2 linked regions of the Arabidopsis thaliana genome follow. The protein of the gene in region 1 interacts with the protein of each later gene in a pairwise test. Each region holds a gene or a part of one and is shown in the gene's direction. Other genes may lie near its edges. The genes, in order: AT2G18110 and AT1G57720.

Region 1 (4,328 bases):
GTACTAAACTCGCTTTTAGCAGCAATGGTTTGGCCGGCAACAATCCTTGTAGCTGCTGATTTTATAGATAGTAGATGGAGTATTGCTATTGACAGGTAAAATGAAAATATTTGATGAAACTGAAATGCCAAATGTGATGAAACCAGTACTGCAAGTAAGTTTATGTGCTATTATTTTCGTATTATCTTATTTCAGGTCAGACAAAGCAGGGAAGCTTCTTGCTGAAGCGCTTCGAAAAGGGTTGCAAGGAAATAGGTATAATTATTGGATAAATTCCATCATATATCTTTATGATAGAAAGTTGTGCAATTAGTATTTTACATCAGCATGTTGATTCTCTTACATTGGAAAACTTGTGAGAAATTCAGACCTGTGACTCTGGTTGGTTTTTCGCTTGGTGCACGTGTTGTCTTTAAGTGCCTCCAGACTCTGGCAGAGACTGAAAAGAATGGTATTTCTCCACTCAATATTTATCTTTGCTTTAGAATTGACAATTGATTCTTGTCTTTAACACATTTTTCACGGTAGCTGAAATTGTGGAAAGAGTTGTTCTTCTTGGAGCACCAATTTCAATCAAGAATGAGAATTGGCGAGACGTAAGAAAGGTAATAAACCTTCTTGATGAGAGTTCCCTACCATTAACAAGAGTTGGTGTCACAGTCTAGGAAACAGATCCGTCTTTTGGTGTTCTGTATCATCTTATACGAGTTTTTTTATGGGTTACCAGATGGTGGCTGGAAGATTCATTAATGTTTACGCCACAAATGACTGGACCCTCGGAGTTGCATTTCGTGCAAGGTATGTTGAATTGTGTTCTTCGATCCCCCCTTTCACCTGCAAATCCAAACTCTTTTTTCCTTATTAAATTCTGCAGTCTGTTGTCCCAAGGATTAGCTGGAATCCAACCGGTCTGTATACCGGGGATTGAAGATGTAAGTCATCTCATTTACTCTCATCTTCAATTCGTAGGAAGTGAAAATGATAGAAACAATCAGAGTAATCATCATCACATTTGTAGGTAGATGTAACGGATATGGTGGAAGGTCACTCATCTTACCTATGGAAAACTCAACAAATCCTGGAAAGACTCGAACTCGACAATTCTTACCCTGTTTTTCGAAACACTCTCTAACTAAACCCAACATTTATTACTAGGACCATATCCCATTTTCACCCAGTTTCATAGACTAGATTAACCCTCATGACTGCTGAATCAGGTAAAACGAAACATCATTGCCCTTCTTCTCTCATTTTCTCCTCATGTGCGTATATATTATACACTTCCACATTCCCACAATTGTTTACATGAAAACTTCCCTCATTTTGAAACCCTACATGTTCTAATTTTTTACCCGAAAAAACCATCGGAGAAACTATGTTGACCAAAAACAAACAAACATACTATACATGTTGACATAATAAACGAGCTTTTAGTCCCTTGTTGTCTTATTGAACTTTCAACATATTTTTGTAGTTAGTTTTACGTCGTCGCCTTTATACTTTGGCTTTTTCCTAGTTTTCTCTCTGTACGGCGATAGTAGATGATGATGTACATGTTGATAACATTGGCCCTATCTATCAATTTTTATATCACCCAAATTCACAGACGTACATGTGAAAACTAAAATTTTATACTGTTTCGCTTGCTAGAATAATAATATGCAAGAAACGTACATGTGTGATTGTGTGGTTACTGTTTTTTGAGAATTCAAAAAAAAAAAAAAAATCATCTTAAACAATCGAACTTGATTAATTCATAAGCCAACAAAATTGGAAAAAAATATTTTAGTTTATTTTAAGTGTTATAAAAAATTTGATAATTATTTTAGTTATTATATTTGAAAATAGGTAAAATAGGTTCTTAATATGTAACATGTACATTTTTGCATATTTCTAATTCGGTGTCATCCATACAAAAAACAAATGGCAAAAATCAGAATGGATAGAGAATTAATCCGCTAAAATGTAAATGTTAGGCCCAAATTCGGCCCATTACACAAAAATCTCAGAGGGTTAAATACATCACCTTCTCGACGCTAATTCCTCCACTACGTCTCTCTCTCTTGCTCTCCCTCTTCAAGTCGGCTCCTTTATTGCTACAGGTTTGTTGCTTCTTCGATTCAATTCTTCTTTCGCCTCCAATTAGGGTTTGTTTCGACCTCAAATTATGCAACTTTGGGATTATGTGATTAGAATTTAAATTTCGGTGTTTGTGAATCTAAATCTAGTTGATTAGCATTCTTATTGTTGTTCATACGTTTTAACCCAATGGTTCGTCTTTTAGATCTTCTGTTGTCATGATCTGGTTTTATGAAATAGAAAGTTTCGTTTTTGATGAATCGTTGGTGGGTTTTTCCTTACTTGATCTGATCTGATCTGATCTGATCTCTCTGCTTTATATCAGTGAAAAAGTTTCGAGCTTTAGAAACAATGGCGGCTTTCCCCAACCTCAACTCTGGCTCCGGATTGAAGAAGCTCGATGAGCATCTTCTCACTCGCAGTTACATCACTGGGTTAGAATCTGTTTTCTAAGGGCTGTCTCAATTATCTATCTTGTTTTGAAACAATAGTAGTAACCATTACTTTCTTCTGTCTCTCTATGTATGTATGTTTATAGGTACCAAGCTTCAAAGGATGATATCACTGTGTTTACAGCTCTTTCAAAGCCCCCAACTTCAGAGTTTGTCAATGTATCTCGTTGGTTCAACCACATCGATGCCCTCTTGAGGATCTCGTAAGCTCCATTGCCTTCTGTTTTTTACCAATTAAAGTTTTTGTCTAGTGTTGTTTTCTTATAACCTGTCTCTCTATTTACAGTGGTGTCTCTGCTGAAGGAAGTGGTGTCATTGTTGAAGGGTCATCACCTATCACAGAAGAGGCTGTTGCTACTCCCCCTGCAGCTGATTCTAAGGATACTGCTGCTGAAGAAGAAGATGATGATGATGTTGACCTTTTCGGGGAGGAGACCGAAGAGGAAAAGAAAGCTGCTGAAGAGAGAGCAGCTTCTGTGAAGGCATCTACAAAGAAGAAAGAATGTAAGTTTGTGTTTTTGCCTTTACACCTGTAGTTTACGATATAATGATGTCTTGGATTTCTCATCTGGTTTCTTTCTTTTCTTAATCAGCCGGAAAGTCATCAGTTTTGATGGATATCAAGCCGTGGGATGATGAGACGGACATGAAGAAGCTAGAGGAAGCTGTAAGATCCATTCAGATGGAAGGATTGTTTTGGGGAGCATCAAAGCTTGTACCCGTTGGTTACGGTATCAAGAAGTTGCACATCATGTGCACCATTGTTGATGACCTTGTATCTATCGACACCATGATCGAAGAGCAACTCACTGTTGAACCGATCAATGAATATGTCCAGAGTTGTGACATTGTTGCCTTCAACAAGATATGTAAGTTACACGAACCTTTTCTCAACTACTTAGAATGCTGAGATTGTTTTATACGATAATTTGGTGTGTAACTAACTGTTGGATATTGAATTGAATCATAATGCAGGAGGATGGAGAATAGCTTGAAGGAAGAACTGTTTATGTTGTTGTTTTCTTCTCTATATCCAGTTTTGTTACCTGTTTTTATTGTACTCTGTGGGAGGGCTTTTACCAACTCTGATTCATTTTGATATATGTGAAGACAATTCAGTTTTGTCTTAAAGTTTCCACCAAATCTCAAATACGAAAAATCATAAGTTTGATAACATCACAGAAAGTGTGAAGCAAGAATGCACGTATGTTTAAAATAAATACAAGTACGCATAATTTAGTATTGCAAAGAAGATTATGTTTACAAAAATTTCTAACAATCAGAGAATATGAGAAGGCTAGAACAAGGACCTTGGGTGTGACGCAATATTTCTGAAGTCATATCTTTTTTGTATTCTTTAGTTCCCACAAAAAAAATGGTAGGTTTCATATGGGTAATGCATGCTCATTTTGGTTGCTCACTATAATTATTGTGGTCTTGATTTGGGTTATAAAAAGGATGGGAATGGAGATGACTTTTACTTGAGAAAATTCTCGATAGAGATATTGGTGAAAATGTCAAGCTTTGTGGTGTTCTTGTTAGGTTCTGGTGCTGTGTTGTTGTTGAGTTCAAGCTCTGTCCACGGGCTGCGATATAGACCCGTGAGGAGATATTTTAATAGTAGTGATCAATCTTCCGTTTTGGGTTCCAACAAAACGTTTGAAAGTGGTGGACATAACAAAGCACGAAGAGTGCAAGAAGGTGATGTAGAAGAAGGAGGCTGCGAAATCTGCAGAGGAAGAGAAAGAGACTGTGGAGGTTGTACCGGTGGAGAAGGAAGCTGTGAAGGTTGTAATG
Region 2 (5,496 bases), on another chromosome or scaffold:
TGAAGAAAAGTTATTCAAATTCTGCTTGCAAGCTCAAGAAAAATAACATTCATCATATTTTCTGCAATATTCAGATTATTCGTTGATCACCTAATATCAAAGTATTTCTTGGTTTTTTTTTTTTTTTTTTATAAGCTGCATGAATCTTTCCACTGTTTTAATTAAACTATGTCAATCGAATATGCGGAGCTGAATCGAATTTTATCCTTCTGACTTAATATTTCTCACACTCACTCACTCTCTCAATCTCTCAAGAACCACCAAAGAAAGAAAAACAGAACAAGAACAGAGGATCCAAGAAATAGGAAGAAGAAAAGACGTGAGGCTTTTACGATTTCGGGACTTGATTGAGATCCCTACGTTACGTAATACTTGCAATTCACTATCTTCTCAGTAACTGAATTTCTCACACGAAATTACATATGTTAAAATGTATATATATATCATACACAAGATGGATCCTTGCTCTACCTTTTTATAGCATGCTTTGTTACAACAACTTTTTTTTTAATTTGGTTGTTGTAAAACTTTGTTTCAACAATTATAACAGCCTTTTAACATAACATGGACATTAAACCAAACCTAAAGCGAGTCTACAGCAGCTCAATTATCGGTTCTAATCCGATATGCACATAGCCAACCCACGGTTAAAAGTTGATTTCATTTGATTTCCATCACCAAGGTCAACACTATCAACGTTTTTTGTTTTTTTTGGTCTAACTATCAAAGTTTAATTTCCCATAATATGAAGCTAACCATGCAATGTTGTAAACCCGAATTACATTTTGGTTTCTTAGACTTGATGATGAGTTGATGACTAATTGAAAACAAATTTAAGAGCTTACTAGTGTTCTCTCCAATGCTTCTTTTTTTTTAAATTGGAATTGATCACACACATATATATATTTACGCATATATGTATATATGGATGTGAACAATTAGTATTATTTTACAATAATAGTAAAAAAAAAAATGAACTTACAAATTACAAACCAAACTTGACGATATATGCATGCTCTTTGAGATCATCACACGAGTTGGTCGGAGCCACCTTTCGCAGTCTTGTCTGCTTCGGCTGGTCCATGTTTTTTCTCGGCTTTACTATCTGCGATTCTCTCTCGAGGGCTACACAAGATTCTTCCCAGAAAATGGGAAGCAATTGCCAAGAATATGATCACTATGACGATCAAACACCATTGCCAGATTGGAACCTCCATATCTTTAGTTTGGATTTTTGGTCACACAAAGTAAACGCAGTGCAGAAGAAGAAGAGGCGGAAGATGCTTGAAATTAAAGTTGTTGGTACTGTTGACCAAAAGGAGTAAGTTGTGAAGAAATGATACGCAAAGACTTGTGGAAGGTAACCAATTTTGTAAACTTCGTAGAAGAAATCGAACTCAATAAAAAAACATCTATATATGTATGACATACGAACAATAACATAGTTTAGTGGACCTACCAATAATGCCCTCTAATAGTTTTGGAAGCTACTTAATTAAAAGATTTTATTTCATTTTCACAAAGTGAAAGAAGGGTTACAAAATTCATCAATTTTGTATTTATTCAAACCCATACTTGGAGTTGGTGTATCAAAAACCTAATTATATTAATTGGCATTGTACGTGGTAACGTTTTAGTTTACATCTATGGATCAATCTTGCATAATAAGTTAATAACCCTTTTGAATTTAAAAAGCACAACACAACTTATTTTTAAAAAGGATATATCATTTTCGGATTTAAAGTTTAGTTTGTATGGTCTAAAACTTTGTTTTTGGTTGTCGTTTAGGATATCTTGGAGAGGAAGAAACCACATAGAGACATGAATCAGAGAAGTAACTTTGTGAGGTTGCTTCTACGAATTTCGATGAACTAGTGTTTCTTTTTCTTCTTTTTCAACAACATGCGAGTTTGGCACACCAAGGATATGGATACAACCAACTAAACTACATATCAAAATGGCCATGGGGAAATGTCAGCAAAATCTGTCAAAAAATGCAAAAACAAAACTCCAACTTTACTTTGGGTAAAACAATACGCTAATTTTTATTATGTTATACATAAATGCAAAAGTTATAATCGTTTAAACCTTAAAAATAAGCAAACCAAATTTGACAAAACCAAAAGCTAAACCGAATCAAACGAAAAAGGAATATTCTCCAAAACCGACTTCACACAGCCCTAATTTCCACACTCTAATACTATTTCTCGCCGCCGCTTTTGTATCTTCTTCTCTCTCGCTTTGCTCTCTCGGAATTGTTTTTGCAGAAAGTCTCTCGTAAGAATCAATCTATCAACTTCTTCTTCATATACGCTTCTCTCGTTTCAAAATTTCATCGACGATTAACTGATTTTTACTTGGTGTTTTCTTTGGTAACTAGATCTGAACTCAGAAAATCTCCGAGTTCGTATATCTTCTCCGTTTGAGCAATGGCGTTGGTAAGTACTCACTTCTGAGATCATTACACGTTTCATCAGATCCGTCACGATTGGTTTTACTGATCTGTTGATGATAGTTTATGAATTTTGATTCATGTATCTTAAATCTGGGAATATAGTTTGATTTTAGAATGATTTAGGTATCTTGGACGATTGTTTATTAATCTGAGAACTGGATTTTGTGTTGCATTGAAAAACTACTTTGGATGAATATAACTATGCAATTTCTGTTGAGTTTCATTGATGAAGTTTGTGTAAATCATACTATTTATCAGGTCATGCACACATACAAGGGAAACAAAGGTGCCAATAAGGCACTTATTGCTGCAGAGTATGCGGGTGTGAAGATCGAGGAGTCCGCAGACTTTCAGATGGGCGTCACTAACAAGTCACCTGAGTTCCTTAAGATGAACCCTATTGGAAAGGTATGGAATCTCTTTCGAGAAGTTTTGATTGATGTTTGCTGTAAATTCCTAGCTAATAAAAGATTATGATCCCACTAGGTTCCTGTGCTTGAGACTCCTGAAGGTCCCATATTTGAGAGCAATGCCATTGCCCGATATGGTATAACTTCATTTCCTTCTGTTTCTCTTTGATGCACCTATCTATAACTTGGTATTAATTGGATATGATGATTGTTTTGTTATCCCCCTTCAGTGAGCCGTAAGAATGGTGACAACTCTTTGAATGGATCCTCCCTTATTGAATACGTAAGCTCCTGTTTATCCAATGGCCTTTCCTTTTAAAATTATCGTACCTTTGTGTTTATCTCTTGTTTACTATCATTGATTCATGTCTATGTGCATGTGTTTACTTTTCAGGCTCACATTGAGCAATGGATCGATTTCTCCTCATTGGAGATTGATGCTAACATGTTGAAGTGGTTTGCTCCAAGAATGGGCTATGCTCCCTTCTCTGCCCCAGTAAGCTTTCCCTCATTTTTTGTGCCTTGTCTCATGCACTCTCTGTACTAACAAATCATGCTACTCCTTACTCGCTAAGATTAGTATTTGACTAGTCTAAGCTTGACTAATCTTTTTAATGGTTTTATCTGAATGAAGGCTGAGGAAGCGGCAATTTCTGCATTGAAGAGAGGACTTGAGGCTCTGAACACACATCTCGCCTCCAACACTTTCCTTGTTGGACACTCTGTCACCCTTGCTGATATTGTCACAATCTGCAACTTGAACTTGGGATTTGCCACCGTGATGACCAAGAAATTTACCTCTGCATTCCCTCATGTTGAGAGATACTTCTGGACAATGGTTAACCAGCCAGAATTCAAGAAGGTGTTGGGTGATGCCAAACAAACCGAAGCTGTCCCTCCAGTTCCTACTAAGAAAGCTCCACAGCCTGCTAAGCCCAAGGAGGAGCCCAAGAAGGCAGCCCCTGTAGCAGAGGCACCAAAGCCTGCTGAGGAGGAGGAAGCACCAAAGCCTAAAGCCAAGAATCCTCTTGACTTGCTACCACCAAGCCCAATGGTTCTCGATGACTGGAAGAGGCTTTACTCGAACACCAAATCCAACTTCCGTGAGGTTGCTATCAAAGGTATGTTATATGATGACTTCTGTTAATTGTTCTTTAGAAGAAATTGTTCTAGGTTTATGGAATCAACTTGTTAAGAAGAAAGCTACAAAAATCCGAGACAATGTGCTGTGACATCCTTATAATACCAGTGCTTACTAACGACTCTCTAAACAATTCACAGCTGCTCTAGTCTACTAAATTGCCTCCTAAGCTAGATATAGTAGACTTAGAGGGGTACTCACTATGGTTTATGGGACATGTATGGCCCAGAGTCTGAAAGTACATTCTATTAAGCTCAATGCCTTGAATGTTTTTCTTCATTGCAGGATTCTGGGACATGTATGACCCGGAGGGGTACTCACTATGGTTCTGTGACTATAAGTACAACGATGAGAACATGGTCTCCTTTGTTACACTCAACAAGGTAGGAGGGTTCCTTCAGCGTATGGACTTGGCACGTAAATACTCCTTTGGAAAGATGCTTATTTGCGGGTCAGAGGGTCCTTTCAAGGTGAAGGGTTTATGGCTTTTCCGTGGACCAGAGATCCCCAAGTTCATAATGGATGAGGTGTACGACATGGAGCTGTACGAGTGGACTAAGGTTGATATCTCCGATGAAGCACAGAAGGAGCGTGTTAGCCAGATGATTGAAGACGCTGAGCCATTTGAAGGCGAGGCTCTTTTGGACGCCAAATGCTTTAAGTGAAAAGGCTCTTTGTATCTCCGTAGAGGTTTACTCTGTTACTCGTGTTTTGATACCTTCTAGAGAGTCCTTACCACCTTTTGAATCGTACTCGGGTTTAAGAACTAGTTGCTTCTCAATGTTATTTTGACAGAATATTGTTCTTAAATACATTACAACTTCTAGTTATTGTTTTTATTTTGTTTTTTATTATCCAAACTCGTGTGTGTGACATTCTCTCTTTAAATTAGTTGCTTGGAAGATGCAAAGAATCTCGTTTAATGGGGCATACTGAATTTCATTTTAAAGTTGTAATATTACACGTCTCTAACTTGTCTCTAACACGTCTCTAACTTGATGATTCAGATATGTTCACTAAAACCCAAATTCCTTTTAAGCCAATCGAATGTTGGTCTACACAGCAACATTTAAGAGATAGGTGTAAGAAATAGAGCCATGAGGTGAGCTTATAAGGAGAGTGTATGTTGAACATGTTCATAGATATTAGGTCCGAGAGGCTTAAAATCACTCAAGTTTATTAAGATGAGAAGATATACCAAGTAAACCTAATTCGTTCTCTACAAAGAGTTTAATGACCAAAATAAACAAAAGGTAGATTAAGATCTTGTCTTAAGAAAATCAAATAAATCGAATCATTACTATATTATCTCAAACAAATCGAATCATTACAATATCATCTCAAGAAAATCAACAAATCATCATTCTTAACCTAAAAACCCTAAAAAAAGAAATCTTCATGACTCTGTTTAGGAGTAGTAGGGATAATCGTCGTCATCTTCATCTTCAAGAACAGTGCGGCAGAGAGGGCACAAATTACTATGACCCAAC

What was found.
Region 2: the proteins of AT2G18110 (region 1) and AT1G57720 interact in a two-hybrid assay, tested with the Arabidopsis thaliana proteins (one large-scale study listed by BioGRID).

Annotation. Positions count from the first base shown.
Region 1 is NC_003071.7:7,870,206-7,874,533, forward strand, and holds AT2G18110 (Translation elongation factor EF1B/ribosomal protein S6 family protein), read left to right. Parts: upstream 1-1,995; 5' UTR 1,996-2,102; intron 2,103-2,404; 5' UTR 2,405-2,430; coding exon 2,431-2,513; intron 2,514-2,617; coding exon 2,618-2,734; intron 2,735-2,817; coding exon 2,818-3,035; intron 3,036-3,124; coding exon 3,125-3,400; intron 3,401-3,506; coding exon 3,507-3,508; 3' UTR 3,509-3,805; downstream 3,806-4,328. Other genes in the region: AT2G18100 (transmembrane/coiled-coil protein (DUF726)), read left to right, coding at 1-95, 196-255, 369-451, 529-605, 728-798, 875-932, 1,019-1,132. UniProt on the Arabidopsis thaliana protein: EF-1-beta and EF-1-delta stimulate the exchange of GDP bound to EF-1-alpha to GTP.
Region 2 is NC_003070.9:21,375,444-21,380,939, forward strand, and holds AT1G57720 (Translation elongation factor EF1B, gamma chain), read left to right. Parts: upstream 1-1,876; 5' UTR 1,877-2,277; intron 2,278-2,291; exon of another isoform or gene 2,292-2,380; 5' UTR 2,381-2,429; coding exon 2,430-2,438; intron 2,439-2,713; coding exon 2,714-2,863; intron 2,864-2,941; coding exon 2,942-3,002; intron 3,003-3,095; coding exon 3,096-3,148; intron 3,149-3,259; coding exon 3,260-3,361; intron 3,362-3,499; coding exon 3,500-3,986; intron 3,987-4,291; coding exon 4,292-4,671; 3' UTR 4,672-4,936; downstream 4,937-5,496. Other genes in the region: AT1G57730 (RING/U-box superfamily protein), read right to left, coding at 5,415-5,496. UniProt on the Arabidopsis thaliana protein: Probably plays a role in anchoring the complex to other cellular components.